Alligator mississippiensis: one gene and its partners. The protein of the gene in region 4 interacts with the protein of the main gene of each other region in a pairwise test. Links are inferred from orthologs where the notes say so. Each region holds a gene or a part of one and is shown on either strand. Other genes may lie near its edges.

Evidence for each region.
Region 1: the proteins of TUBGCP4 (region 4) and FBF1 interact in a two-hybrid assay, tested with the Homo sapiens proteins (2 studies listed by BioGRID and IntAct). The two-hybrid records come from large-scale screens. The link is inferred for Alligator mississippiensis from reciprocal best matches to the Homo sapiens genes TUBGCP4 and FBF1.
Region 2: the proteins of TUBGCP4 (region 4) and PAK5 interact in a two-hybrid assay, tested with the Homo sapiens proteins (2 studies listed by BioGRID and IntAct). The two-hybrid records come from large-scale screens. The link is inferred for Alligator mississippiensis from reciprocal best matches to the Homo sapiens genes TUBGCP4 and PAK5.
Region 3: the proteins of TUBGCP4 (region 4) and SDSL interact in a two-hybrid assay, tested with the Homo sapiens proteins (2 studies listed by BioGRID and IntAct). The two-hybrid records come from large-scale screens. The link is inferred for Alligator mississippiensis from reciprocal best matches to the Homo sapiens genes TUBGCP4 and SDSL.

The regions. Positions count from the first base shown.
Region 1 is NC_081831.1:13,306,926-13,314,457, forward strand, and holds the start of FBF1 (fas-binding factor 1), read right to left. Parts: upstream 3,003-7,532; 5' UTR 2,762-3,002; exon of another isoform or gene 2,684-2,761; intron 2,035-2,683; 5' UTR 1,916-2,034; coding exon 1,913-1,915; intron 647-1,912; coding exon 619-646; intron 1-618. UniProt on the Homo sapiens protein: Keratin-binding protein required for epithelial cell polarization. Involved in apical junction complex (AJC) assembly via its interaction with PARD3. Required for ciliogenesis.
Region 2 is NC_081824.1:223,326,507-223,334,522, reverse strand, and holds the start of PAK5 (serine/threonine-protein kinase PAK 5), read right to left. Parts: upstream 3,061-8,016; 5' UTR 2,887-3,060; intron 1-2,886.
Region 3 is NC_081833.1:25,867,841-25,875,548, forward strand, and holds the start of SDSL (serine dehydratase-like), read right to left. Parts: upstream 3,003-7,708; 5' UTR 2,895-3,002; intron 190-2,894; 5' UTR 172-189; coding exon 4-171; intron 1-3. UniProt on the Homo sapiens protein: Catalyzes the pyridoxal-phosphate-dependent dehydrative deamination of L-threonine and L-serine to ammonia and alpha-ketobutyrate and pyruvate, respectively. Also exhibits racemase activity towards L-glutamate and D-glutamate.
Region 4 is NC_081834.1:441,261-448,240, reverse strand, and holds the start of TUBGCP4 (gamma-tubulin complex component 4), read right to left. Parts: upstream 3,100-6,980; 5' UTR 3,046-3,099; coding exon 2,968-3,045; intron 2,878-2,967; coding exon 2,725-2,877; intron 993-2,724; coding exon of another isoform or gene 989-992; coding exon 866-988; intron 351-865; coding exon 297-350; intron 1-296. UniProt on the Homo sapiens protein: Component of the gamma-tubulin ring complex (gTuRC) which mediates microtubule nucleation.

The DNA of each region.
Region 1 (7,532 bases), on a different chromosome or scaffold from region 4:
GGGTTGGCTGCCGGGTCACGGCATGAGCTTTAACCACTGCTAGCAACAGTTCTATGCCCAGGCCGCACCCATGCCCTGATGACTGGCTGGGCGAAAATATCCTCCGCTTGGCCAATGACTGTGACTTTAGATTTTGAAATTGGACCGTGGTAACTGTGGCTAGTCACTTCCCTATCAGCGAGACTGTTGTAACCACTAATGTCTGGCTTGTCTCCTATGTGTATCCTCTGCAGCTAGGTAGCTAACATTAGCCAGCTAGTGATGTGTACGTATGATTTTTGGCCATTGTCTCCCTCCATGTAAAAAATAAATTTAAATATGTAAATTAGATTGTTTCTATACCCGGTTCGCCAGTATTCTTTGAGTGAGTTTGCTGGTCTGCAGCATAAAAAAGGCTGGGAACCACTGGGGTAGCTGACATTCAATGCTGATTCAGCAATGATTTGACTCAAGCAATACTAACACTCTGCATGTCTGACATGGCTTTGAACCAAGGAAGTGAATCATTAGCCAGGATTCACCACCTTGGACTTCTATGATTGTCAGGAGCACCCCCAGTTTTGACCCACCTATTCTCAAGCAGACTAAGGGTAGTGAGGTGCAGACGAGGGCTCATACCTTTTAAGCCTTTCTTCGGTTTTGTAGCCTAAGGAAAAAAATAAATTTTGGCTTGTTACAAAAATAATAAGCACCGGAAGCAAGACACATCCAACAGGACTTTTCCTGCATGATGATCATAGGGCTGGAAGGGGCCTCAAGAAGCCATTTAGTTCAACCCCATGCTCAAGGCAGGATCATCCCCAACTAAACCAACCCAGCCAAGGGTCTGCACAACTTGCTCTTGAAAATTTCCAGGGATGGAGTTTCCACAGCTTCTCTAGGCAGCCGGTTCTAATGCTTGACCACTTTCACAGTCAGAAAGTTCTTCCTAATCTCCAAACTAAATTTCTCCTGCTGCAGTTTGACACCATGCTCCTAGTCCTGTCCCCTACAGCCATGGAGAACAGTTTATTCCCATCCTTTTTATAATCATCCTTCAGTTTTTGAAGACTGCTATCAACTCCGCCACCCCCCCTCCCAGTCTTCTCTTCTTCAAGCTAAATAATCCTGGCTCTTCCAGCCTTTCCTTATAAGTCATGTTACCCAGGTCTGTAATCACTTAGTTTTGTTGCCCTCCACTGAACTCTTTCCAATTTGTCCACATCGTTCTCCAAGTGTGGGGCCCAAACCTGGACACAGTACTCCAGGGGAGGCCTAACCAGTGCTGATCAGAGCAGCAGAATCACTGCCCTGTTAATTCTCTGTATCGTAGAACCACGTTAGATAACTCAGTCTAGGCAAGCCAGCCCAGATGCAACATTATTGTTATTGTCATTATTTAGATGCATGTCCCGCACTATCCAGAAAGCCTCAGGGTGGCTTACGATACCAGGTATGACACGTCCACCACGATCCCTGTTGTTTACTGAAGTGAAAGTCAGATTTTCTTGTACAATCCCGACACAATATGGGAAAGCTTCCCAGGCCAATTGGGACATGATGCATGAAATAATGGAATCTGTCCCGCATACTCCTGAAGATTACCATAAGTAACTGTAGCAAGCACAGTCCCTGCTCGGTGCTAACTAGACAGCCAGGATTTGCAAAAGTCTAGTGGTGCATTCAATCATCGCTGCCTTAGGACGGTGGTTCCCAACCTTTTTTATACTGTGGATTGGCAAACTGTGGACTGGAAGTGACTGTGGACCAGCAAACTGCGTACCGACAGCCAACCCTTTGTGGCTCGGTATTGTGCCATGGCCCGGTGGTTGGGAACCTCTGCCTTAGGGCATCACAGCAATGAAGTCTGCCCGTTTCTGTTTCTAGTTTTCATAACTCTTTTCTACCCATTGCCCCTTCATGTCACACTCACCATCTCACGGCTTGCAGGGGTCCTTTCTTCCGTGGGCTTCTGCTCACAGTCATTCAGTCTCCACCTCCAGATACGGTTTAACAACGTAATCCCGCGACCCAATCGATTCAAGCCCGGTTGGTCTAAGGAAAGAGAGAGCAAGATTTCCTGCTTCAACCTCCACATTCAGCAGGATTGCTGCGCAGCCGACTTCCCTTTCTACCCAAGACCTTTCAAGTTTTCCATCTCACCGCTCTCTATACCAGCGGTTCCCAAACCGTGGGTCACGACCCCCAGTGGGGTGCCAACAGCAGTGGATGGGGTTGCGGGGGTGGGGAGCTGGGAACGAGGGGCCACGCTGAGGAAAACGGGGTCATGCCGAGGTGAAGTTTGGGAAGCGCTGACCTAGACGGAGGCAAGGGCAGATTGGTTTTAAAAAAAAGAAAGAAAAGCGCTTGGCACTTGCAGCGAGTTGGATGGGACGACCCCTGAATGTTTCAGAGACATTGAGACGGTCAAATACCCCCACGAAAGGGGTAAGAAACACCATCCCGGTTTCAGGCGGACACGGCTGTTTGGGTGAGTCTGATATCTCTTATTAGACCGACTCAAATCGCTGGAAAAATTCTTCTTTGCAAGCTTGCGGGTATAAATACCCCTCGTCAGGCTGAGGAAGCTCTTCCTGGAGGGAACGAATAGTAAAGAGGCCGGCGGCCGGTCTGCACGCCAGGAAAGGCCGTCGGTGAGGATGTAAACTGAGGAGTGGGGGGATGATGAACTGCGGAGAGGTACCTGCGGAGTCAGGTTATAACGTGGCATAAATCCAGTGTCCATGATTTTCTGCATCCAGCAGGCTGAAGGGAAGCTCACCCTGGGTCAGTGCTGCCAACTGAGGCTCGAGGCCGGGACGTGAATGGTCCGCGGTCGGTTTTTGTGTCTTAATGACTTGTCAGGCCCAACTGCGGACCCAGGACGAGACGAAGGGAACGGTGCCGGGAGCGGCGGGGGCAGGGAGAAAACCCCGGTCTCCTGCGGGCGGAGGCTGCAGCCCGCGCCGCGCACCCCGGCGGGAGCAGGCTGAGCCGGGGCGGACCCGCGCGGTTGCCACAGCAACTGCTCCCACCTCGGCGCTCAGCCTCGAGCCTCCCGGGAGACGTAGTTCCTCCCTGAACTACAACTCCCAGCACCCCTTGCGGGCCCAACCGGATGTAGAGGCAGGTCGCGGGCTGAGGCAGGTGATTGGCGGGCTGGCATCCAATCAGTGGTTCAGGCGTACTGCGCATGCCCGGGCCCCTGGGCGCATTAGATCAGGCGCCCGTGGGGGCTAGGCTGGCTCTTAGCACCCGTGCAGCTGGTGATAACTGGGACGGACAGCTTCCCTCTGCTGTAGTCACCGCATCCACCGGGGAGCCCCTCCCCCCATACAGAATTGAAGGCTACTCCAAACAGCTGAGCAAATCATTCAGCAGCCTGGGCTGGAGTCCTGCGGGGGGGAGAGGCTTGCAGGGAAGCTGGTGGACAAGGGGCCACAGTCCTCCCCCTTCCTGGCTGCAGTGGGTGAAGCATTTCTTCAGACTGGGGCATCAGGGGCTGCCTGTGTGTTACCCCTAGTAATCCTGGGACATGTTAAGGACTTGCAGAGAGAAAGCGTGGTCTTGAAACGGGTGTAGGTTGTAGCTGTGTTAGTCTTGAAACAGCACCAGAGCTGCCAGGGCAGTGCTTGAGAGGCAGGTGTTTACTTCAAAAGACAAGGAGCCAAACTTGTTGCACTGGCACGTGGAGGAGCCGAGCTGGAAGAGCAAGAGCTGTCAAGGCCCAGTAGCCTTATGCAGGGCGGAGCTCTTTGTTCCTTGCCCATGTCTTTCCTCACAGACGTGTGAAGGAGGTTAGTTACGCAATCCCCCACCTGCATTCAGCACACTTGCTCAGGCATCTGAAGCTGGTTCTTGCTTCTGTTTTGGATCAATCTGTAGGGGTCTGGGCTCTTCCTTGGAAAAGGCCCAGAGGCATACACCCAATGGAAGGGACAGGCCATCACCAGGGAGGACTATATCTCCATTGCTCAGGATTGTAAGGGGGCTGTTAGGAAGGCCAAGGCGGAGATGGAACTGGGACTAGCAACCCGGATCAAAGATAACAAGAAGTCCTTTTTTAAATACATAGGGAAGAAAATGAACATTCCGGGTAACATGGGGCCTCTGCAGGACACGCTTAGAAATCTGGTCATCACACCAGACGACAAAGCTAACCTATTTAACAATTTGTTGCCTCCATTTTTCTGAGCAGGGACCAGGTCATCTCCCCCACCGGAATCCCAGGGTCAGAGATGACCTAGTCAGGGAACTTCTGGAGGGACTGGACATGTTCAGATCAGCAGGTCCTGACGATTTCCACCCCAGAGAGCTGAGGAAATTACCAGAGGTCATTGCAGGACCCCTGGCGCAGCTTTACGAGCACTCATGGTGCTCTGGCGAGGTGCCAGAGGATTGGAAAAGGGCCAATGTGGTCCCCATTTTCAAAAAAGGAGGAAGGAGGACCCAGGAAATGATAGGCCTGTTAGTCTTACCTCGGTCCTGGGGAAGCTTGTTGAGAAAATTATCCAGGTGCATATCTGCAAGGGGCAAGCAGCGGAGTGTATGCGTAGGGGCAACCAACATGGATTCATCAGAGGCAGGTCCTGTCAGACCAACCTGGTGGCCTTCTATGACCAGGTCACAAAAATCCTTGGACGCAGGTGTCATGGTGGACATAGTCTTTCTGGACTTTAGGAAGGCCTTCGACACGGTCTCTCACCCCATTCTTGTTAAAAAATTAGGAGATTGTGGTATCGGTGCTTACACAGTCAGATGAGTCGCCAATTGGCTGGATGGCCGCACCCAGAGTGGTGGTGGACAGGTCTTTTTCAACCTGTAGGGATGTGGGCAGTGGGGACCTCCAGGGCTCGGTACTCAGGCTTGCACTGTTCAACATTTTTATCAGCAATTTGGACGAGGTGGTGAAAAGCACCTTGTTCAAATTCACAGATGACACTAAGATGCGGGGAGAAGTGGGCATGCTCGAAGGGAGGGACAGGCTGCAATTGGATCTGGACAGGTTACAGCAGTGCGCAGATGAGAATAAGATGGGTTTCAACACTGACAAGTGCAAGGTACTGCACCTAGGGAGAAAGAACCAGCAGCATACCTACAGGCTGGGGAACTCCCCTCTTGTCGGCGCAGAGGCAGAATAGGATCTTGGAGTCATTATAGACTCCAAGATGAACATGGGCTGCCAATGTGGGGATGCAGTCAGGAAGGCTAACTGCACCTTGTCATGCATCCACAGATGCATCACGAGCAGGTCCAAGGAGGTGGTCCTCCCCCTCTATGAGACACTGGTCAGGCCACAGTTGGAATACTGCATCCAGTTCTGGGCACAGCACTTCAGGAGAGATGTGGACAGCATTGAGAGGGTCCAGAGGAGGGCCACTTGCATGATCAGAGGGCAGCAGGGCAGGCCCCATGAGGAGAGGCTACGAGACCTGAACCTGTTCAGCCTCTACAAGAGAAGGCTGAGGGGATCTGGTGGCTGTCTATAAACTGGCCAAGGGAGACCAGCAGGCAATGGGAGAGTCCCTGTTCCCCCCAGCACTACTGGGCGTAACAAGGAATAACAGCCATAAGTTGACGGAGAACAGGTTCAGGCTAGACATCAGGAGGCGCTACTTTACAGTTAGGGCATCTAGGATTTGGAACCAACTTCCAAGGGAAGTGGTGCTTGCTCCTACCCTGGGGGTTTTCAAAAGGAGGCTAGACAATCACCTTGCCGGGGTCGTTTGACCCAGCATCCTTTCCTGCCCATGGCAGGGGGTCGGACTTGATGACCTGCTCAGGACCCTTCTGACCCTAGCAACTATAAAACTATGGAACTGTCATTAGTAGAGTGCACCAATAGAGAATTTTTGGGCTGATGCTCGTGGTCAATTTTTAACAAGCCGTATTGGCCAATACCAATCTTATTGCCGATATGCAGCCAGACAGCATGGAGAGCAGCATCTGGCTGGTAAGTCTTATGGGGAAGGGCGGACTGAGGTCCCCTCTGTGCAGCGCCTGCCCCTGCTCCAGCCCCACTCCCTCCCTCACTGGCGTAGCCTTGGTCTACCCCCCACATGGCCCTTCCCTCGCCCCTCTCCCCTTCCCCCACAACAGACTTGTCAGTCAGACCCGGCTGCTTTCCACTGCTGGGCTGTGCTTCAGGCTGCCTGCGTGGTGCGCTGCAGCTGTGCACATTCACAGGGCATTTATTGGCCACATTATCAGCCACATCAGCCAAAAAAAACAGACTGCCAATGCCGTCAATGTTCCTTATATCTGTGCCGATCTGATATGAGACCGATGTATCGGTGCACCTCTATTCATTGGATTTTTTTATTTTTTTTTTAAACTAAGCATTTCATTTAGATTTAATGCCCAGTGCTGTCCTCTTGTTGGAGGTGCTACAAACCCTCCCAACAGAAATGCTGCCTGAGTGCATCTTTAACATGTTCTAAAACGATCACCAGAACCAGATTCTCAGTTCTACCTCTGAACCACAGGACTCCGGCTTACCTTAAGGGGAGGTCCTGAACCTCAAAGCTGCTCTTCATCGATTGGGGGTGGGGAGAGAGGGAGTTTCTGTAGCCAAACAAAGTCAATAGAAAACAAAACCTAAGCAAGCTCTTTTTGTCTTTTGTTGCACAGATTCAGAGAGGAACACAAAATTCTGTTAAAAGCTAAATCTTTAATCTGTTAATACAGAAATCAACTGTGCAAGTTTCATTCAGTATAAAATGGACAATTTTTAAACAGATCAGAAGTACATGGGGCGGGGTGGGGAAAGGAAGCAGAACTGCAGGCACTCCACTTGAGAGAGGTTTTTGTTTGCATGCAACACCACTGTGGATACTACAGATAAAGCTGAATGGGGCAACAAGACCCAACCCAACCAATTCTTGTTCACAAATATTGGCTTTGTCATAGGTCATTTTTGCAAATTCCGCCAGCAAATGGTGACTTTTCACCACAAATTATTACATTAGTGTTTGTAAAATGCTTTGCAGCTAAGTGCTATGAAAATGCTAGAGATTAAAACGATGGCGGAACACCCAATAAATTGCTCCCAGCTGAAATCTGCCCTTACTTTTCTGTTAAAAAAAAAAGTATCACTGTATTCTCCTTTTTGATTAGCCATCAACTGGAAACCTCAAAGACTGGAGGTGCCAAGTGGATATGCGACGGGGGTGTTGGAAAGGCAGGGGGAGGAAGGAAATAATGGAATTTCCTAGAGAAAGCTTCCTGGATAGGTTTGATTGAGGCAGTGCTCCATAAGGGGGTAATTCAGAGATGCTGCAAGAGGCTAGAATTGATGCAGAGAAGGAAGGGTGGGAACTCCTGCCAGACAGAGAATGTAGTGCTCAGGCAGACTTGAGTCATGATGTGGGGATTGAAGTGTTAGGTGTCACAGAGCTACAATAAAAGCCCAAGAACTCTCTTAACCAATGAAGCCTGGTTCCAGACCAGGTCTCCTTGCAAAGAGCAAGAAACCAGAGAATTTAAACATCAATTTTGTGTTTACGTATGAGGGCACCAGGGCAAGAGAGGCTGGTGCTAAACTGAAAACAAGA
Region 2 (8,016 bases), on a different chromosome or scaffold from region 4:
CTAAATACTTCACTGTAATAATTTCACATGTAAACCTGGTGATGTTACATGGTCACAAATGACAAGAGAGTCTGAAGCAGGGATGGCCCATGTACCAGATCAAGCCACCGGAGCCATGTCATCCAACGCACAGAACTCTCCACTGGTCTGAAAATTTGGCAGGGGAGCAGCTGCCACTCCCTTGATGCCAAATTTCTGGACACAGGGGGAGCGCCACAGGCCACATAGTGTGGCCCCAGGCACTAGATCAGGTATGCAGGGAGGCAGGGGGAGTGTGGAGCACCAGGGCCTGATTTGAGCATGTTGGCCTAGGAAGTATAGGGGCTAATCCCCAGTGCACAGGGTCAGGCAGAAGCAGTGTGGGGCACCAGGACCCAATCCCAGCACATATGGCTAATCCTGTCAGCCAGTGGCCAGTGCAGGGCCCAATTTGGGTGTTACATGGGCTGGTCAAAGCTGTGCAGGGCCTGATCCTGGCACGTGGGGCCCGCTCCAGCCCTTGAACCAACTGTGAGCCACATATCTGGCCTGTGGGGCCAAAAGTTTGAGCACCACTGGTCTATAAGATTATGAATGGGAAGGGAGCTGGTTCATGGGACCACTTTGCATGACCACTACTATGAAAGAAGGAAAGGTAGAGATTCTGCCTTTGCCTGACTTCAGGCTAACATAGCTCACTATCTTTCAATGAAAACACTGAGAACCTCTGAATTAGCATGCATATCTCAAACACCTATTTGAGCAAAGCAGTCCTCGCTCATACACTTTCTTTCCATGATTCAAAGGTAATGAAGTAAAAAGATGGCTAAACCCACACAGAGACAGTTCCCAGCCTTCTATCTGTCTATAGTGTAAAACAGAGCATTTGCAGGCATAGTCACCCAGATTTTCAAATGATTAAAGCTTCAGTGGGGAAGCAATTTTGGGGCGATATCTTAAAGTAGTTCAGAGCAACCTTCCTCTGAAAAACTGAGCCAAGCATGGAAAAGCTGGGACACTCAAAAACACTAGTCACTTCTAAAAATCCTCAGTCATTATTCAAACCAAGTAATGAATTTTGCAAAGAACTCAAGAGCCTAACCTTAGAGCTTTGTTATAACAGCCCTTGATGTGCTTTCTTGTATACAGCCAGTACCTTTTCAGTTGTTCCACTCATACACATTTTTACTTATTCGAGGCTTTTCTGGGGCAGGAAATAAGTTAAACATGGGGGACAAGGTTAGGATTCTTCAGATATGTACTCCTTCTCTGTGCACCTCAGGTGCAGAGACATCTGCCAGAGGAGGTTTACAAGCTACAGCTCCAGAAACAATACATTTTCACACTTCCTGAAAAAGAAAGGCAAAAACCCTCCCTTTCCCCTTTAAGGATCATTGTCTTGAAGCACTTGATACCATTTCTTTGCCTAGTGCTCTCCTTGTCAAGTTGTACTGTTGACTAGCTCAGACTTTCCAGTGCCATAGCAAGGTCAGCTGCCATTTCATCCACCTCGCTCCCCCGCCCCCCCCCCCCAACAGGGATAAATTATTCAAAGGAACCTCAGGTATTTTAAAACTCTATAATAAAAAGTCTCCCCATCATGCTAAGTGACATGCATTTATGAAATGAAGCAACATGAGTGGAAAACATTCAGAAGTCATGTCTTCTCACCAAAGCAATTAAACAATGAGAAATGACATGAAAAGCCTTGAATTCATTTTTTAAAGTCAGCGTTATCAAAGGCGCTCTGCATTATCTGCTATTGATTTGATTGGCACCGCTCCCAGGTTTCCTGCCTCTGCACCGCGTCTCTCTCCAAGCGCTATTCTGAGATTGGGCTCTTTGTATGGCATTTCATGCTGCTGCTTACAGTCTAAGCACTCACTTTAAAAACACCTTTCACCAAACTTGCTGTTTAATTCTGCCAGGTCACTGCTCCCACTTTCCTGTCAAGTGAACAGACCCCGGGTACCGACAAACATATGCCTCTCCCTTCCCATGTCCGGACACTGCTCTCTAGAATAGAACTTGCCATCTTGGAGCTGTCCCTCATACGATCCTCTCCGAGGGGATGCAAAACAGTGGGGCTGTGGCCAGCCCAGCTCCACAACCCTGTTTCCAAAGGGTGCAAAAATCTGGAACATCGATGGGCAACCGCATCCCGAGCATACCCTCGCCTTACACAAGCTACCGTGTCCCACCTGTGCCATCATCTTACACAGGCATTCACATCCCGGCTGTGCTCTCGCCTTACCGGTGCAACCACATCGCAGCTATGCCATCCTGCAAGGGTGACCGCATCCCAGCCATGCCCTCGCCTTACATGGGTGATCGTGTCACCTTACATGGGTAACTGTGTCCCACCTGTGCCATTATCTTACACAGGTGACGGTGTCCTGGCCGTGCCCTCACCTTACACGGGCAACCATGCCCCTGCCATGTCCTTGCCTTACACGGACAACTGTGTCCAACCTGTGCTGTCCTCTTAGATAGGCAATCATGTGCCAGCCATGCCCTCACCTTACAGGGGTGACTGTGCCACCTTACAAGGGCGACCCTGCCCCTGCCATGCCCTCGCACTACGGGTGCGACCACATCGCAGCTATGCCATCCTGCATGGGCGACTGCGTCCCGGCCGTGCCCTCGCCTTACACGGGCGACCGCATGGCAACCATGCCATCCTCCAGGGGCGACCGCGTCCCGGCCGCTCCACCGCAGCGCGGCCCCTGGAGCCTGCCCCGCCGGCCCGGAGCGGGGAGAGGGCGCGCAGGTGCCGCTCCGCAGCGCCCACAGGCAAGGGCAGGGCGGCTTCCCGGCGGCCCACACCCCGCGGCTGCGGGCACGGGGCGCAGAGAAAGGCGGCGCCGGGCGCGGCAAGGGGTGCTCCGCGCCAGCCCCCGCGCCTACCTGACGACGCTCAGGCGCTCCCCGGCCGCATCCCCGCGCTCACGCCGCTCGCAGCGCCATGTTCTCCCGGGCCGGGGGCTCGGCCGGCTGCTGCCGCTACATCCGGGCTGTGCCGCGGCCGGAGACGCCCGGCGCCTAGAGGGGCCGCGCCGCCTGCCGCGGTGGGCAAGCCCGGAGCCGCCCGCCCCCTCCCCACGTGCAGAACAAAGCCGGCTGCTCCCGCCCTCCGCGCTCCCGCCCCGCCCCGCCCCGGCACTGCCAGCCCCTGCTCCGGGCAGCCGCGCCGCCGCGGGGGGCACCCGGCTCCCCGGCCCCCGCCGCAGCCAGCAGCGGCTCTCAGCCTTGTTTGGCACCAGGACACCTCTGGAAACGTGGATGGGCAGTTGCTACCCGCTGCCCCATCCTCTAAACCAGGGGATCTCAACCTGTTTTTGTACCAGGACCCACCTATAAACGTGGATGACCAGTTCCTACCTGCTGCCCCATCCTCTAGACCAGAGGGTCTCAACTTTTTTTTTGGTCCCATGACCCATTTGTAAACGTGGATGGCCAGTTCCTAGTTGCTGCTTCATCTTCTAAACCAGCAGGTCTCAACCTTTTTTGTACCAGGACCCACCTATAAACGTGGATGGCCAGTTCCTACCTGCTGCCCCATCCTCTAAACCAGCGGGTCTCAATCTTTTGTACCAGGACCTATTTGTAAAGATCCATCCGAGCCGCTGCCCCCCAGTGTGTGGGGCACGGGGAGCCCCCCAAGCAGCCCCTTGCAGTTGGGAGTCCGCGAGGGAAAAGCCATTTTTTTCTCCTTCCAAGGAGAGCCCATTTTTTAAGTTTGTGGATCCATTTTTCAAGTTTGTTCACCACCCTTTCATGTATCTGTGCAACCCACTTTTGGGTCATGACCCATGGGTTGAGAAATGCTGGGCTCTAAACTCCCCTCAGCCCTGACACAGCACAGACCTAACTCCCTACACTGCTGCAGGTAAAGCAGCAGACAGCCAACTTCCTGCTTTTATAATATATTGTCAGTATAAGCTCCCCTCCGTCCCCCTTGCTCTCCCCAAAAGACAGTGGCCGGTACAGGTGCCTCCTGGCCCAGTTGGGGGCTCCCCACCTCCACCTGGCAACTTCCCCCATCCCCAGCCTGATGTGCCCCCGAGTCACAGGATCAGGATGATGCTGGCTGCAAAACAGGATTGTCGGTGCCGCGGTTCCCCTGCTTTACCTGCTACCAGGTAGGGGTTAGGTCTGTATAGTGTCAGGGTTGAGGATGCTATTATGCAGTTTAGATCAGCAGTTTCCAAATGGTGAGTCACAATCCCAAATGGGGTCACAGCATTAGTGGATGGGGTCATGGGGATGGAGGAGCTGTGGGTCAGGAGTGAGGGACCATGGTGAAGAGATGGAGCCATAAATGGGGTCACACTGGAAACATTTGAGAAACACTGGTTTAGATTATGGGATGGTTTACATAGGATAATCCTGCCTCAGACAGCGGGCTGAACTACATGACCTCTGGGGGTTCCTTGCAGCTGGACTTCTCTATTACCCCAGAAACCATTATTGTCCATCAGGGTCCAGTCAGTATTACTAGTGTGTGTTGGGATAGAGGTAGCCCCCTACACCCAGGGCCAGGTCTTCATTGTGGGTGGTTTTTAAACAAGGTGCCTCTGCCCCCTGGGGTGCCTTGAGAGCCTTTCAAGAGTGCCACGGGGTGCCACGCAATGCTGGCACTGTCAGATGTGCAAACATCCTTCACAGGATGAAGCAAGAGATTTCAAATAGGAATCTGCAGCGTCAAAAATTCCCTGCCCCGTTGCAACTGTTGCAGGTGTTTGAGTTCTTAGCAGCAGGGGAATTGCTCTGTTAATTTTTCTGTAGTCAAAAACACAGTGAAAACTGGCATTTTCTGAGGGGAGCCTCAGGTCTAACGAGGGGTGCCTTGGGGCTAAAAGAGTCAAGAACCATTGTGCTAGATGCTGTGCAAACACAGAAGGAGAGAGCTGGTCTCCCTCCCCAGAGGGTTTAGTTTAAGACTAGAGATGACAGCAGGTGGATACAGACAGATAAGGGAGCCCAAGGAAGAAGAGAACAAATTTTGCTCCGGTTCACTCTGCCATGAGAATGGCACATACATGAATCTGATACAAGACGCCACAGTTATACTGATTCGCAGCCTGTATTCTGCTGGGCTCCGTGAATTTTTGGCTGCAATCTTCTCCCTCAGGTCTAGGATAGGTCTATAATGCTTTCCCAACTCCCCTGAGGAGCTTCATTCTTGAGCACGCCTTACTCCACCCACTGTGACATGCATAGACCAAGCTTAGAAATGAGGGAAAGACGCTGCTACCAGGGTTCCTTCTGCTACTGCACTTGAGCATACTGGAGACATACCAGAGCGGGGGAAGAAGCATATGACTAAACTTAAGGAAGCTTCTCCTTGTCAAGTAATACAAATCTGACCATGCATACTCTATATGGACTCAATACCCCCTGCATTAATTAATGAAAAGTCACACTCCTGCATGGTAGGTGCCACAATGAGCCAAACTGCACCATAGCCAGGTGCAATTTGGTAGTTACAGTATCAAGCTCTGAGCCTCACACCATGGCCCAATGGTATTCCATGGTTATGCCAGAAGGAGAAGGTGGATGCCCTTGCTCCAAGGGCACTAGCCCCCACACTAAGGCCTAGAGAACATCTTCAACTCCTAGCGGTAGAGTGCCTGCGACACAGTCACACAGCACTTTCCTTCTAATAGAGGGTACCCACAGATACTTTCCAGATCAGTGGTGGACAAACTTTTTGGCAAGCATGCCACAAGTCTAAAGTGTCAGACAGAGCCATTCTCATTCTCAGTACTGTCATTGCCTAGTGCTGGTGAATCCCTTCACCACCAGGATATGGCAACACTGAATTTGGTGGCACCTAGCTGTGCAGCTCCCGCCGGGCCAAGCCCAGCAACATTGACCCTCAACTGCTCCCCAGTGCCAGCATCCCTGTGCCAAACACAACAGCTGCTTATGCCACTTGCGGCATGTACGCTGCAGCTTGGCCACTAGTATACCAGATCTTTGCGATACTTGACCAATTTTACAGACAACCTGAGGCATAGAAAAATTAAGTAAATCATAGTTTCATAGCACAATAAAGATTAAAGGGACCTCAAAACATCATCTACCCCAGCTCCCTGCTCAACTCTGTCTAAACCCCCACCAAACAAATAATCCTGTACTTGTGTCCTCCTCTTTAACTCTAGTTATTTGCCATTTTGAGAATTTACAGAATGTACTATTAGGACAAGAACAGTCCACTCCTAAGCTTCCTATTGTAGGAAATAGGTACTCAAACATGTCCCTGAGGATTTTGGGGAAAAGTTCAGAAAACACTCGCCTTTTCCTTGTAAACTGTGTGCACTGTTCACAAAATGTATTTGACAAAAGCCTGTACTTTTCTGAAGACGGGGGCTGGGAAAACCAGGACTGTCACACCATTACAGAGTCACTGCTACAACTAGGTAGAGAGATGGTAGAGACTTGCTTGCCTCAAATACCTAGCAAAAATGCCAGTTTAAAATGCAAGAGGCCATTGAAGAATTGGGATTTTGGATATAACAACAACTTCGAGCCTGTATTTTTAAATAAAGTATACAAAAACCCCTGTTTTTCTTGCCATATGGTTCCCACATTCTTTTCTTTGCTGTTAGTGTCTGTTTTATCAGACATAAAAAACCCTTTAAATGAACATGTAGACAGACATTGTAAAGGAAATGCTAAAATGTGTAGTTTGTTCTCACTCAACTTTAAATTCTGAGAGGGTTGCTCACTGCTTCTGTGCTTGCAGCCCTTGCCTGGTCTATGATGGATGGTGGCACCACAGCCTTGTCATCTGCTAGCTCCTGTTCTTTGTCCTGCCTGGCCTAGTTCCATTGCCTTCATTTCAGACAGCAGACCTTGCACTTTGCCTTTATTCTCATCCTGGTCCCTACTCCTGCCTTCTGTTCCTGTACTCACACTATCTGTGCCTGGCAACTGACCTTAAATTCAAAGAATCCTATGACGGAAACTAATTTTTAACAAAATGTGCAGTTAACTTGCAGAACTCATTGCCACAAGATATCATGGAGGCTGGGAACTCTATTGAATTCAGAAAAGAATAAAGCTTCCAAGTGGATCATGAGAACATATCGCTAACTAGTTATCATAGAGCTGCTTATTGTTGGTTTTAATTATCGATTGACACATTCTTCCAAAGCTTCTACTTCTGGACATTGTTAAAGCTCTTCATATATGATCTCCCATTGTTTTAAATATCTTGATGGTGTTTTAAATGTTCTTTTACCCTAGGTATCCTTACATGAATTTTAAAGCAGCTGATCTAATATGCATTTTCATTTTTGTAAAATCTCCCTGAGTAATGGATAGACCCTTGCAATGAAGTCAACTAACTAAACAAATAGAAAGGAAGCAATCAGAGAAACATTGTAAAAAATATATCCATATAATGCAATTGGGGGGGATATATGTAATTCAGATATAATGTTGCTTGTAATTTATGTCTGACTCTGAAAGCTGTCTTAGCCAACACCATATCAAAATATGCCACAAAAAAAGATTAAGATTGTTTTAATAAGGGTCCATAACATTCCAAATGTTTATCAGCAGAAATATCTATTGTATGATATCTGATTTAAACTCATTAATCATACTCTTGACAGTCACTGAATACCAGATGCAAAATCCTTTTCAGTGGAATGTAAAATTTTTTGGGAGGAAAAACTGCAAGTGCCTGATTTATGCAGCCTTATGTAAAAGGATGGGTCATCACATATTTAACAGGCTAGAACTGAATGTGATTTCTAATGCATTTCCAGTACTGTGAAATAGGGACTCTGACAGGAACATCTCAAAGGTGTAAGGTGGGGGTACATTAGAGCTGTACAAGGGCAGCTGTGATTGCTACAGGTCAGTTTTGCAAGCCGAGTGAAAAATTCCCGTAACTGGTTTGCTTAGTGAGCAATAGACACATTTGTGTAATTCCTCCACTAGCAGCAATCACCATTCCAAACTCTGCCATTTTGCTTTCTCAAGGAGGTAATATTACTGATACAGTACATCATTCTCCACTTT
Region 3 (7,708 bases), on a different chromosome or scaffold from region 4:
TACCTCCTGACAGAAGTAGCCGATGCCTCGTATCTTGAAGGAGCCTGATGGTTGGACGTTCTCCATCTTCATGAACACCTTGGTGCCTGCAGCCTTTGACAGAGCCAGGCTCTCCAACACAGGAGTAACCACATGGAACTTTCTCCCATCTGTCTCCACTGGTATTGCCATCAGTGCCACAGCAGACACCTACAGATGGACAAGGTATATGCCAAGGCAATGAGAGAAGGCTGGAGAGACTAGAGGTCCTATGTTACTCTGGGTTACACCAGCGTAGATCTCCCCTGACTGGAAGTTAATGGAGCTATCTTGAATTTGCATTGGCATAGGTGAAATGATCCAGCCTACAGCTTTCATTGAACCACACTCAGAGAAGGGCACAGGAAAATCTAGCAGGGTGAAATTTGCTCTTTCGGCTTGGCCATGAAGTCAAACTGACAGCAAGAGCAAAGTCTGGCTTAAAATCTCCCTACATGTCCAAAGCTTATTGCTAGCACCTTAGAGATAATGACCAGATTGCTGTGCTGTTCTGCTCTAGGTTACTCCATGCCAAGATGGTTCAAAATCCCCTTGAGAAAATTTCATCCCTGAATAAGAGACAAAGGGGTTTCTTCTGTGTTCACATGTGCTGGGGCTTTTGACATTGCCTTGTTCTCAGAGTAGTTCAATGCAGTTCCTTCTGCTTTTCAGTTTCACTAAAAGGCAACTTTAATCTGCCTTTCCTTAAGTGCAATTTCCAGCATGGAGGGCCTCACCAAGGGCCAAGGGATTGTTGGGATATGGCTGGTGGTTGGGTTGATCTTTGGGAGAGGAGCTTCTCATGCTGTGTAATGCTGCTTATAGAGATCAAGCAAACTTATGTCATTGATGGAGAGTGCATCTGGGCCCTTTTACACAGAGATCAAAAACATACTAACAGGAAACTGGATGGAAGGAGAAAATACTGGTGATCATTACAATGAACAAGAAGCTTCACAAGTCATGGCAACATACTGGTTGCTCTGCCTGTAAACTCAGGAGGAAATACCACCACCACAGACAGAAGACTATTTCTAACACTGGCTTCCAAATCAGTCCGCCCACCCAGGGATCTCTTCCTCCCCAGGGGAAAGTCAGGCAGACAGGTGGACCTGAAGGCTCTTCAGATTTAGACACTAGCAAACTCAGGAAGGAAATGAGTCCCACATCCAGGCTTCTCTTCCAGAAAGCATGCCTAGCTGCCACGCCACGTCCATGTATTGCAGGTGGGGGTGATAGCTGGAGCATTTCCACTAGGCTAAAGTGCCTCAGCATCCTAAAGGGAAGCCTCTCTAGCACTGGGGTCTCAACTACTTTGGACTTTCATGATTAAACCCAAATCCTTAGGCTTCCCCCAGGCATCACTCAGCTGACAGTGAAGTTCACAAAGCATGGACCTGCTGCAGGGCTGCTATACAGTGCACTAGCTGTTCCAGAGGTCTGAATGTGCTGTCTCTCAGACACCCTGTGGCAGTGATATAAATAGGGGATGTGAAAGGCACAATAAAGGAGACCCAGCCCCCTATAACTGCAGGAAAGGACTCAGCGTCTGTGCTCAGTGCAGGTGATAAGGAACACACTTGGCAGGTGCTGTCACCTGGGAATCCTAAAGCAGCCATGGATGCAGTAAATGAGCAAACCTTGGAGACAGGTGATGGACTTATTATATTTATGCTAGGCACTTACACAGCCTCTGCAATGCCTCCTGGCCCATCCTGCAACACCTTTTGCCACAGCTCTGCCCACCTTGCTCCATGTTAGACACTGGCAGCCTGATTTTCATTTACTCTGTTCCTGTGCTGGGAATAGAAATGATGCAAGGAGAACAGCCTAAGCTACCTTTGTAGTCCATATACTCAAGGGCTCCTGGTGTAATTTAGAGCAAACTTTGAGCTGCTCTAACATACAGCACTTTCCAGAGCCTCAGTGGAAGCAAGAAGTAATACAGTGCACTTCAGCCACATCCTCTCCCTGCCCCTAACTTGCTTCCTATCCCATGGCCTGGAAATAAGGTTACTGTAAAGCCCTCATGCCAGTTCCATGCCAACTATTGCCATGCCTGCCTCTTAAGACATTCGTATGCTACCAGAGGAGCAGAAAGAGAATTGGCAAACTGGGATTTGACCCTTTGGCAAACCCCAACAGTGCTCCTGAAGAACTGGAAGCCCATCTGCCTGCCTGTCTGATCAAACCTCTCGCCAGAGCATCAAGGTGATTTTTAAATAAATCAGAATGTCATTTTTACTGGAAAACAGGGCACCAGCTCCCACCTCCACCTCTGGGATTTCCTTTCTACCCAAATCAAGGATTCTTCTTCCTGAGCTGCTCTCTATATTCTCCAGAAGGCAGATCTGAGAGCACAGCATCACGCAGCAATAAAAGGCGGCTGCAACCCATGCAGTCTCCAAATATTCAGAGTTCCCCAGATCAGAAGCTTTAACTAGGTGTCAAAGGCTTGACCACCTGAGGGCTGCAGAAATAGAGTAAAGATCACTCATTTCTCATTTACTGCCTCCAAGGCTCCCACCCCCACTTTATACTGTGCTCCTCCATACTCCAAAGTAAAGCTTTCTCTTATATCTCTCTCCAACTCCAGCTGCTAGGGAAACAGGACAGTCTCCTTTATGTGCAGGAGAGACCGTCTTGGTTCAGGGAGGGTTGAAAATATTAGTCCCTGAAAGAACCAGGCTGCAGCAAAACAAGTGGCCTGGAGACACCCCCGGAAGCAAGCACGGGATTGGCTCCTGGACTTCAAGCACTCCAAGCCCTCTTTAGCGATGTCCCCAGCTGCTTTGACTGTCAGCAGGCTTGCATAGTGGCAGTGACTGTCCCTGGGTTTTTGTTCTGCCTGCAAGCTTCCTAGTAGGAATATTTACCTTGATTCACGCTGAGCTTTTTCCAGACCCCAAGGAAACAACTTCCCTGCACACAGAGATGGAAAGGAGTCAGTGACCCGGACCAGTGCACAACAGAGCAAAGTTGAAGAATGGGAGGGCAGGAAGCAGAGTTAATGAGAAAATGAGAGTGATGTTAAAGAGACATTGTCAGATTAATGAGGCCACTCCTGCCCACAGAGTGATCCACCCACTCTGGGTGCAAACAGCACCCCAAATAACCAGGACTGGATGAGACTACAAGAAAATCTGTAATCTCGTAATGTTGTAATATCTGTAAAATCTGTAATATTGGGATGATCTAGTTGGGGATGGTCCTGCTTGGAGCAGGGGACTGGACTAGATGATCTGAGGTCCTTTCTAACCCTTGTTTTCTAAGATTCTATGATTACAAAATATTTCCCTCTTCTCCCTGCACTCTCTTATTCCACCTTTTAGGCATCTAAGATTAGATGCATCTAGAGTAGGCATCTAATCTAAGTGGATTTAGACATCTAAGTGAGATCCTATTCCACTCTGCTCAATGCCTGAAAAACTCTTAATGTAAAAGGTGGTGGAGTCCCCCTCCTCCTTCCTGCTTTGCACGTCTCAGTCTGAAGAGTCAAATGATGGGAAGCTACAAAAGCAGATGCATTCATGGATTTTCAGGGACTTGAGCAAGGTGGAATAGGATTTCATTTAGTCACCAAAATCCATTTAGATGCTGAATAGGTAGAATAACATCTGGCCCCAGATCCTCCGGGATTTGTAGGCACCTCATTTCCTCAGGATCTAGCCCTCTTTGAAATGAATGGGCATTAGGCACCTAAAGACTCTAGAGCATTGGGGGCCAACCTTTTTGGCAGGAGTACCACAAATTAGCCCCAACACCTCCCTGAGTACCACTCTACTCTGTTTCCCTTACCCTGTCAAATCAGGTAGGCTGCTGCTCTGCTTTCTGCTCTGTGCTCCCTGCCTGATTTGATGGGCTGCTTTCTGTTCCCTGCCCTATCTGCCACTGTGGTACCTGCCCCCAACCCCAGTCTGCCATGTGCCACACACAGAGGCTGTCAATGCCACTTGTGGCACCTGAGCCACAGGTTGACTACCCTGCTTTAGAGGATCTGGTCACTTTTGAAACAAGACTTTGGCTTCTAAGTCACTTGGGTGCTTTCATAAATGTCTATGATACCTTCACTATGGCTATAGCAACTCATGTAGAGGCAGCCTAGAGAGCTCTACACTGGCAGGCTTGGATTCTGCTAGCAGTGTAGCTGTGACAGCACTGGGCTCAGGTGCAAAACCATCCAAGAAGCTGGGTGAATAGGCATTATGCCCAAGCTGAGCACATGCTGTTGCTGCTACATGGCTAGCAGGACTCAAGCTGGCTAGTTTAAACTTGATGAAGTAGGTCTGGGCAGACTGCAACCCCTGCAATGCAGATGTGCCTTAGCTTTGGTCTTCCATGTACTAATGGGGAAAACCATCAGAAAATAGTATTTTAAACAAAGACAATTGCCCTGCAGCGTGGTCTAAGGTAAAGCTTGGAGCTTATTTTGTAAAACTGGCTGGGCTTCAGCTTGAAGTTTCCCCTTATATGATTACCTGAGTGCCATGTGTAATTCATGTAAGTGTCCACGATCCCTCCAAGGGATACCCTTGGTTTTAACAGATGTATTGTGATTCCTGCAAACTGAGCTTTGTGAGAAAGTGAGCAAGTCCTTGGGCTTAGCTTGACTCTTGCAAGGCTATATTATGACTCCACCTCTCAGCATCAGGAGATAAAATGCTCTGTGAGAATACAGACAGCCTGGCTTTGAACTACAGACAGAGGATTGCAACAGACAGAGCATTGCTCAGGGCGGTACCTGGCCCTTCACTGCCAGGAAGCCAGAGCTCCCACCTCACCCACCCCTGCATCTCCTGCTGCTTTCCAGACATGCATAAAACACCCAATCTGCCTCAAGGTCTAATAACTTTAATTTCTTCTCTGCTGGGTCTCTCTCACTGCTTCTGTTCAGTTGTTGTTCTATTGCCATACCATGGAAGCATTTGGAAAGAAGGATGCACTTCCCACTATGTGCAGAAGCTCAGTGGGAGTCTCCCACTCAGACATCCCTGGAATGTTTGGCAGCAGTCCATGACAGAAAGATTTTACATGCAGATGTACTTAACCCTAAAACCAGTGTTGCGTGTGGCATGCATATGGACAAAACCAACTGGTATATGCCTGGCTGAAGAACTGCATATACAAAATGGGCATGGGCACCCCGACACAAACTGGGGTGGTGATGGTGTATAGACATGGACATGTAAAAACATATGTGCAGTTGCCACGTGTATACATGTTTGCTAACACAGAGCTGCATAATGATATGCATGTCTCCATGAACAGATAACCTTTTAGTAGGTACATAATAAGCAAGTGCAATTTAAGCACTGAGTTTTAGAAATTTCACTCTAGCCATTTAAAAACACAGGGTCCAAAATCCACTAGTTGAACCCCAGCAGCCTCTTTCCTGCCCCTAATAATGAGAGTCAAATTGAAGGGAGCAGCTCAATGGCCACTGATATATGCCTACCACCAAGACCTGGGCACAGAGTTAGCTGACCAGGACTGTGGCAGACACCCCAAGCTGTATTGTCTGGGTACTGACTTCACAGGGGGATGTAAAGACCACTCTTCCAGCTACTATCAGGGCAGCCCCATGTTGACTGCTTATATGTCCCTAGTACTTTACCTCTTTGGTCTTGGGTCAAAACAGCTTCTAAGACAGAAAGTTTAAGCACCAAAGAGTTCATTTATTATCCTGAAATTGAAGCCAATGACCATAGGCTTTGCAAGCAGACCTGTATTGCTCTGCTGCAGCCTACAGATCCTCATACTCCCTAGAGCTGAAGAACACGCTTGGTACTATAGTCTGTGCTACATCTATATATGTCACCTAAAACAGTGTTAGCGGCTAATACAGTTGTTGCCTTGAGAATTTCTAAGTGATCCACATATGGCCCTTTTCCCCAACAGGAGAATGCTTTCTTTCTCCATCTCCACTAATATGAGACCTAATAAGGTGATGTCCCACAAATCCTTCCCTTGCCCCAATAACCCTACCCAGCATGAGATCAGTGAAATACAGGATACAGTAAGGATAATGCAAAGGTAACTTTTGTGTCATGGATGTGCCTTTACCACAAAGTTAGCCAACCAACAGGCTTTTAGAGAAATCTGTTTGCACGTGCTCGGTGGAGACTTCTTAGAGTGTATCATGGTGGTTCCTAGACTTTTTGCAGGGCAATCCCACTTCCAGACACACCGCCCCACTTGTAGACTCTGTCTGGCCTCCGCTAGTGAACTTCTGAGGGGATCTGAGCTAGCTTATTGAAAGCTACTCAGCACTGCCATCTGCCACTAAAAGCGCTATTCTGAATAGCTTTTAGCACTGGCCAAATCCTGCCGCCACTGAAATCAATGGGAGCTTTACCACTGACTTCAATGGGATCTCAGTCAGACCAGTGCTGAGAGCTTCAGAAAAAATAATTTCATCTTGACTGGCTTGGCTGAGGTCTCTTAAGAAAGTGAGCTCAGTTCTCCTACTGCCCGGACCTTAACCCTTCACTTCTTCTCTGGAGTTGAGTGGCATGGGTAGACCCAGAAAAAGAAAATTATAAGAAGAATGTTTCCAGCTGCCTCCCACAGGCTTCTAGTATTTTCTATAGAGGCAACTCACCCATAGCTCTCCAGCACTCAGACAAATCAAAAAACTTCGAGCACAGAAATGAAAAGTGTGTGGTGGGCCAGCCTTCAGAAGACCCAAGGGCCTGACCTGCTCCCAATGAAGTCAGTTGCGAAACCTTTGGACCAGCACAGGATCAGGAGCAAATATTGATTCAGGCTCTTCAGCGCTGCATCCTTTAAATGATTATACAGTTTGTCTGCTGAGTGCTGGCCCATCCTTGTGTTTCCCTGCAGGAGGGGGAGTCCTGTTCTCTACCCAAGCTCCAGGGAGGTTTCCTGCCAAGATTTGATTCTTTTTCCCCCAGTCACCAAGGGAGAGCAAGGGCTGGCACAGATAAATGCAAGAGCCCCTGATTCCCCTTCCCCCTCCAGAAGGCAGACTCAACACTGACTCACCCCTGCCTAGCATGACACTGTCCTGCCATGCTGCCTGGGGAGGAAGGTGTCCAGAAGTAGGCATCAGGGGGACAGAGCTCACCACTGAAAAAGAAGCTAAGGAGACTGGCTATAAGAGGGAGGAGACCCCCCAATTCCCCAGGAGACCCTCCAGTCAGCACTAAGCAGCTCCCACGCTGCACAAGAATTATCCCATTCACATGGCAGGTGAGAGCTACTGCTCTCCCCCTGGTAATGTGTTTGGCCAGCTCTATGAGCCAGCCCTTGCTGGGGTGAATTAAGAAACAGAAATTAGACAGCAGATCCACCATCTTGGCCTTATTTCTCCTCCTGAGCCCAGACAGCCCCCACATATTCCAGCCCCTGCCTTGGCACATGGGATAGCTCCAAACCAGGGAACCCCTCATGTCCTGCTTCTTGGAGACCAGACTCTCCAAGAGTCAGGTGAAAGGACAAGGCCAAAGAGTGCTAGATCCCCATGGTCACAAACCCAGGCACGCTCCATGCACGGCAGTCATGGGCATGTGCCTTCCATTTGATGAGCACTGTAGCTCTTAGGTTCCAGCTTCCCTAGTTTAGGGCTAGAGTGCATGTTGTTAAAGCTAAAGTATGCTGGCTGGCAGAGTATGTCCAGGTGGCTGGCTTGCTATCCAGCCATGTCCTGAGTATCCAAGTCAGGGGCATA
Region 4 (6,980 bases):
CGGAAATCAAGATGCCTAAAAACAGACACCACGTAGCTTCCTCCACCTTGGTGACATATGTGCTACCAGCTACTGCAACCTTGCAGGAAGGAAACTCTATTTCTTCTTGCAAGCTTAGGTCTAAAGGGTAATGGTGACATTGATGCAACTTTAAAACTCAGGAGATAAGTACAAAAGTCAGGTGGTTGGAAAGATGGGGGTCTAGCAGCAATGCCAAGCTCTGCAGCATTACCCATGTTGTACCTATGAGTATTAAGGTGCATAAACCTGAAGCCTCTAGGTCCTACGCAACATACCTGATCCAGGGAATAGTTAACGTGCGAGATGGAGAGATGAGGATCAGCCAGGAACTGCAACAACAACAGCAGTTAGCACAAACTGAAATAATCCACAGCCTATGAGAAGGTAAGCGAGAGCGAATGGCCTGATCACAGCTCACTCCACAGACTTTTGGGCCATGTCCCACTTCAGGCTGCAACTCACAGTGAGACCACTGACTCAGTGACCCCACCTGAGAGGTTACATGACCACTGCTATCCTGGCCATGACAAGGGGATTAGTCAAAAATCTTCAGAGCTAAAAGCATGGATCACTACAGCTGGAGCGACAGAGCCTTGCCCGGGCACTGAGGGAGCCCTCCCATGGATGAGGAAGTCAGTGACACAGAATACGCTGACCAGTAGTGACTGCACTTGCAGTAGCCATTTGGAAGACATCCCCAAAGTGAAAAGTGAAAGTTCCTGTCCTGTCCCTGGCAGCTGCTTGTCAGGCTACTCGCCATACAAGAGGCAGGTTCCCACTGCGCCAGAGTTCAGGCTGCAGCACTTCCAGCGCCCAGCCACACGCACGGCCACCTCCCTCTTACCTCTTGTTCCAGGTCAAGCAGTGCCTGACGATAGGGCTGCAGCACAGAGTCAAGCCCCGTGCAGAAGGCCCGCAAGTAAATCCCATGGAGCCCGCTTGGGTTCTGCTGGGATGGGTGATGGTCCTGCAATCAAACAGGAAAGTCTGGATTGGCCCCAGGCAGGTCTGGATGGTGCTTTAACACCAGCCCAGTGATCCAAGTTACAAACATACCCATCTCGAACAACCGCAGCAAGTGCCAACAGAACGGACAGGTTACGAGATGGTGCTTGCGCTGGCAAGGATGGAGCAGACCTAGATTCAGTCCCCTCAGAGACACTACTCACCACAGAAGAGGCAGGTGCCCACTGCAAGGCAGTCCGGAGGCAGAAGACCATCTAATAAAGGTGGCCACTAACATGTTGCTGTTATTTGGGGCAGCCACTGAAAGAGGCACATGTATGTAAAGCACTTGCCACAGCCCCACCAGCCTAGCGGGATGGGGAGCACCCTCGAGTCTTGCAAAGCCTGTCCAGTCTGAGCGACTGCAAGTTGTTGTTCTTCCCCAGGTGAATTAGGTTTGCCTGGTAGGGGCTGCAGGGGCTTCACAAGCCTTTGCTCTTCGCGCTCGTGGTAATTCTCTCCCTGCTGCTCTCCTTCCCTCTCCAAATTAGCCTGATTGCCGTGGGTAAGACAGTACTGCGCTAAGGCAGACATCGCTACGGAGAACCAAATGGAAGTGACCGCCCACCCGTCAGTACGCGATGTGACCGACGGGGTCAGCAACGCTGAAATGTCCTAACGAGGGGCCCGAGGCCGTCGCTCAGCGAGAGCGCTCCGCCACAGGCATCTCGTCAGACGACAAGCTTTTGTTTATGTCCAGTGCGTAGCTGACTTGTGGCAGGGGAAGGTATGAGCAGCTTGGAGAGGAAGGACAGGTCCGTTGGGAGCTATTAGACAGAAGTCAGGGCTGCCTCCTCTGACCTCTAAACCAACGAGGGAAGGTGACACGGAGAGGATCGTGCCCCGGCCATGGGCTCTCCCTCTAAAGCACTTACTACCTGCCCCCACCGGAGACTGCTGTATTTGCTACGCTGTAACTGAGCTCTGCCTTGCTGGGAACCACGTCCCCCCTCGGCGGCCAGAGACACCACGAGCTGCGCAGCCCATTTCTTGACAGAAGAAAAAGACAGAACAGAAAGAGAAGTAAATCTGCGGGTTAATAACCAGGCCCCAGAGGAAAGCACCAGGCGGAGAAGAACAGACCGGTGTCCGCTGCTGCCCGGGAGCGCCTGGGGCTGCAGACGCCGTGCAGCGAGACTGCCCGGGGATGTGCCAAGACAAGGGGCCGAACGGCGGCCCTGCCGGCGCCTGGGCCCGGCCAGCCCGCGGCTCTCGGCCGGCCCACGGAGGAGTTTGAGCGGACGACCTGGGATGTCAGAGGGCGACGCGCCGGGCACGCGGGCAGAGCGCAGCCAGGACCCCAGCGAGGGGACGCGGACCCCAAGACAGCCCGGCACGCTCCACTGCCGCGGGGCCCGGGTCTGCCGCACCGGCGCCTGCACCAGCGCGCCCGGCCTGGCCCGGCCCGGCCCGGCCCAGGGCTCTGCGCCGGAGCTGCCGACGCCGCCTGCCTCCCCGCGGGGCGCGGCCCGAGCCAAGTGCAAGCTGCCCGGGGGTCCCTGCTCCCCGCCCGGCGCCGGCAGGGCAGGGCAGGGCAGGGCACGCACAGCCGGCGGGGCGCTGCGGCACGGCCCCGCGGCACTGAGGGGGCAGGGGTCTGGTGCCAGGGCCCGGCCCCGCCGATCCGCCTCGTGCCCCGCGCCCAGGGCGGGCGGGCGGGCGCTGTGGCGGTAAACCCGCCTGGCCGCGCGGCCCCACCTGCTGCTGCTGCTGCTGCTGCTGCTGCTGCTGCACGTGGCCCGTGTACTGCGCCACGAAGTCGGTGAAGCGGAGGTAGTCGGTGCCCAGGCGGCAGAGGCGGCTCAGCACGCCGGTCTCGCTCGGGTGCAGGAAGGGCAGCTCCTGGCTCACCTGCGGGCGGGCGGGCGGGCGGTCAGGGGCGGGGCGGGGCGGGAGCGCGGCGCGGGCGGACGGGGCGGGGGGGGGGCGGGGCGGTGGTACCTGCAGGCCGCCCCGCTTGCTCCACGTGAAGGCGGCGCCCGGGAACCCGCTCAGCGCCAGCAGCAGCTCGTGGATCATCCTGCCCGGGGCCGCGCGGCATGCCGGGAAACACCGCCCGCCGCCAAACAGGCCGCCCGCCGCCGCGGAGCATGCCGGGAACTGGAGTCCCGCAGACCGCAGAGGCCGCTGGGAGCCGCGGAGCATGCTGGGAAGTGGAGTCCCGCAGGCCGCCGGGAGCCGCAGAGCATGCCGGGAGGCGTGGCGCGCGGGGCGTGGGCGGGCGCGCGAGGCGCGGGCAGCCGTGGGCGCGGCTCGCCCAGGAGTCTCCTCGGCCAGCTCCCTCGGGACTCCCGGGCGCGAGGCGGCGAGGAGAGCTGGGCGCGCTGCGCCTGGTGCGAAGCCGGGAGGCCCGGGCCCCGCGTGCGCTCGCTCCGCGCGGAGCCGCGCCGCTGGCAGCGCAGGGAGGCGGCCCGGGCGCTCGTGGAGCTGGGCCGGCTCCTGCCCGAGCGCTCGCCCTCCGGCCCTTCCTGGCCGCCGTCCCCCGAGCCCCCGCCCCGCCGCGGCCCACGCCCTCGTCCTAGTCCTCGTCCTTCGAGCTGGGCTTCGCGCCTGGCTGGCCCGCGGGCCGGCAGTCTGCTGTGCGGGAGCCGCCGGCCCCGGGCGGTCGGGAGCAATGTAACGGCACAGCCTGCTTTCCAGGCCCGCCCGCCCGCCCGGGGCTGAGGGTGCACACAGCCCGCCCCCAGAGGCAGAGGCGCGTGGCGCTAGCTGGGTGGCGGGGCCCGGCTGAGGGCCGGGGCGTCGGGGTAGCTCCCCGTGTGCGGCGCGGGGTCGGAGGCAGGAGGTGTTGGGTGAGCGTCTGCGGTCTGTCCCCGCCTCGTGTCCCCAGCGTCACGGTGCAGACCTGCGCCTTCCCTTTCCTTTGCTTCCCGCTCGGTCTCCTCCCTGTGCGCACACGCGACTCCCACAGCAAAGCGGCGCCCACGGCGCTGTAGTCTTGCCACCCCCCGGTTTCAGGGTGTCGCAGCAAACGTGGGAAGCGGTCCAGCCTTCCCGCAGCTCCGACGGCAGGCGCTCAGCGACGGGACGCAGGGCTCGTTCCAGCAGCCGCCACCTGGCAGCACTGACCGCTTCGGCCTTGCCCTGCAGTCTGAGGGCAGACAGCTGGGGAGAAGGGGTTGTCCAGCCGATATCGCTGCTCAGCCGCACGTGTGAGTCTCATAGTTACTAGGGTCGGAAGGGACTTGAACAGATCATCAGGTCCGACCCCTGCCCTGGGCAGGAACGAGCGCTGGGATCGTATCGCCCCAGCCAGAGCTCTAGCCAACCTCCTCTTGAAGACCCCCGAGACAGGGGCGGGCACCACCTCCCTCGGGAGCCCATTGCAGAGCCCGGCAGCCCCGACCGTAAAGTAACGCTCCTGATATCTAACCTGAACCTGCTCTCCGTCCATTTGTGGCCACTATTCCTTGTTATCACAGGTAGTGCTTGGGGATACGGAGCCCTACCTGTTTTCTGCTCGTCCCCCCGGTGAGTTTGTAAACGGCCACCAGATCCCTCAGCCTTCTCTTGTGGAGTAGCTTCAGGCCCTTTAGTCTCTCCGCGTAGGGCCTGCCCTGCTGCCCCTGACCATGCGGGCAGCCCTCCTCTGGACCCTCTCCGTGCTGTCCACATCCCTCCTGAAGTGCGGCGCCCAGACCTGGACACAGTACTCCACCTGCAGCCTGACCAGTGTCGCATCGAGGGGAGGATCATCTCCTTGGCCCTGCTCGAGATGATGCATCTGTGGATGCACGACAAGGTGTGGTCGGCCTTCCTGACCACTGCCTCACATTCGCGGCTCACGTTCATCCTGGAGCCAACAATGACTCCAAGATCCCTTTCAGCCACTGTGTTGTTGAGAGGGGAGTTCCCAGCCCGTAGGTGTGTTGCAGGCTCCTTCTCCCTAGATGCAGCACCGTGCACTTGTCTGCGTTGAACTCCATCCTATTCTCATCCGCCCACATCTGTAACCTGTCTAGATCTAGCTGGATCCTGTCCCTCCCCTCCCCTCCCCTCCAGTGTGCCCATGAATGAGGGGTGCCGCCCATGGGCAAGATGTTGCAGGCACCGGGCAGAGCTTCGCAATGTGCAGGCACTTCCAGAGGGTGTGTGGTATTGCAACCCACACTGTGGGTAAGAGGGAGAAAGTGTCCCTGACTGCCCAGTGGCAGCTGTGCTGCTTCATCCTGAACCTGCCTGGGCATGGCCCAGCATTTTGGCCTCTGGTGCCCTCATCCTCACCCCTCCCAGAGGGGTAGCTGTGGTGCCTGCTTCTACCCCCACCCTGCCCTGGGGACGTGGTCACTTGTGGGGCCTGGGCCATGGCGCCGTCTATGGCTGGCAGAGACTTGCCATAGGTGCAAGTGGGACCAGTGGGTGGGAACGGGCAACTGGTGAGCCCTGACCTGCCTATCCCTGCTCCCTTGGCTGTGTCCTGGCCTGCACTCGCCAGCTCCTCCCTGGAGGCAGGAGGCTTCTGCACACCCTGGGCCCCAGCCCACAGCCCCGCAGCAGTAGCACCACCCAGCAGTGAGCAGCAGCCAGGCCGGGCTGTCCCTGGTGCTCGTGCTGGTGCTGGTGCTGGCTCCGCTCTGGTCAGGTCCGACCTGGTTCCGTTGACTCCGTGCACGGCCTCTTTTTCCCTGCCCTGCCCTGCCCCACCCCACCCCTGCCAGGGCGGAAGGAGGTGGCACCAGGAGCAGCTTGGTCTTTGATCCATGCTCCTGGGTTGCTGCTGCATGTGCCACCACTGGATCAATCATGCTGCTGTCACCTGTGCTTTCTGGCCCTGGGAGCATCAGGCCTTGGGACAGCTGCAGCTCTGAGATAGGTCTCCCACACCTGGGCAGAAAGTTGGCTCCCCTACGGCCGGCTTGCCATTGTCTTCGGTGGCTGGACTGGGACAGGGGAAAGCAGGTGCAGCTCCAGGGGGCTGGAGACAAAGTGCCTTGTTTTCCTAATAGGTGCCCATCAGTTTTGGGGTCTTGGTGTCCATTTTCTAAGGAATCACAGGGGCTCGGGTACAGAGAACAATTCTGACCAAAATGAGCTGCCGCAGTCACTACTCAGCCATGGCCTGTGAGTCACCTGCTGTGTACAGAGATAACAACATAGTTCATTTCTGTGGGCTGCCGTCAGAGAGGACCTCGGTTACCTGCCCCTGTGCGGAGTCACTAGTATAGTTCACCTCTCTAGGGCAGGATCCCACGTGCCACTGGAGTCAGCCTGTTGCTGTTTATAATCGCTCACAGCGTCAACATCAGGGAGCATGGTAAGAGCTGCATGAGAGAGACCGCGATTCTGGTTAGTAGGAAACCTGAGAAATGGGGTAACTTGTCAGAGTGATTCCTGGCTGGGCAATGGACTTGAGGTAATGGTCCTGCAAACGTATCCTGAATTCCTGGGGTTTGGGGGAATTTGTCTTGAATTCTTCCTAAGAAAGAGCAACATTGATTCCTTCTTCTCCTGGGGCATTAGCATTCAGCCAAGCCTATGATGGTTAAAATTCATCCCCGTGCAAGGGTCAATGCCAAAGCACCGCTTTCTTTCTATTTTGTCATCTTTTCATAATACTGAAGGGTGATGAGCCTCTGTGCTGGTTTTCAGTTCAGGGGTGAATTTTATTCTTTCTGAATATAGCTGCTGTTGGAAGACTTACTCATTGCTGTCTTTGCTTGGATTTCTAGCAAGGGGAGAGAGGAAAGAGGAAGCGCTGCATTCAGAAAAGATCTCATTTCAGAACTGAAATACTGTCCTTACCCTTTACTGGTTGATGTAATTTGTTAGCTGAAGCTGTAGTTGCTGTATCAAATGAATTTAGTAATCACTATGTATTCAGCACAGCACAGCGCACAAAAAATTGGCTCCCTGCTCTGAAGGGTTTCACATCTAAAGACACAGGCACTGTGGAAAATCCGGAGGTGGAAGTGTAACTTGGACAAGCAAACCTACTTCTTGTGGATACTAGGGAA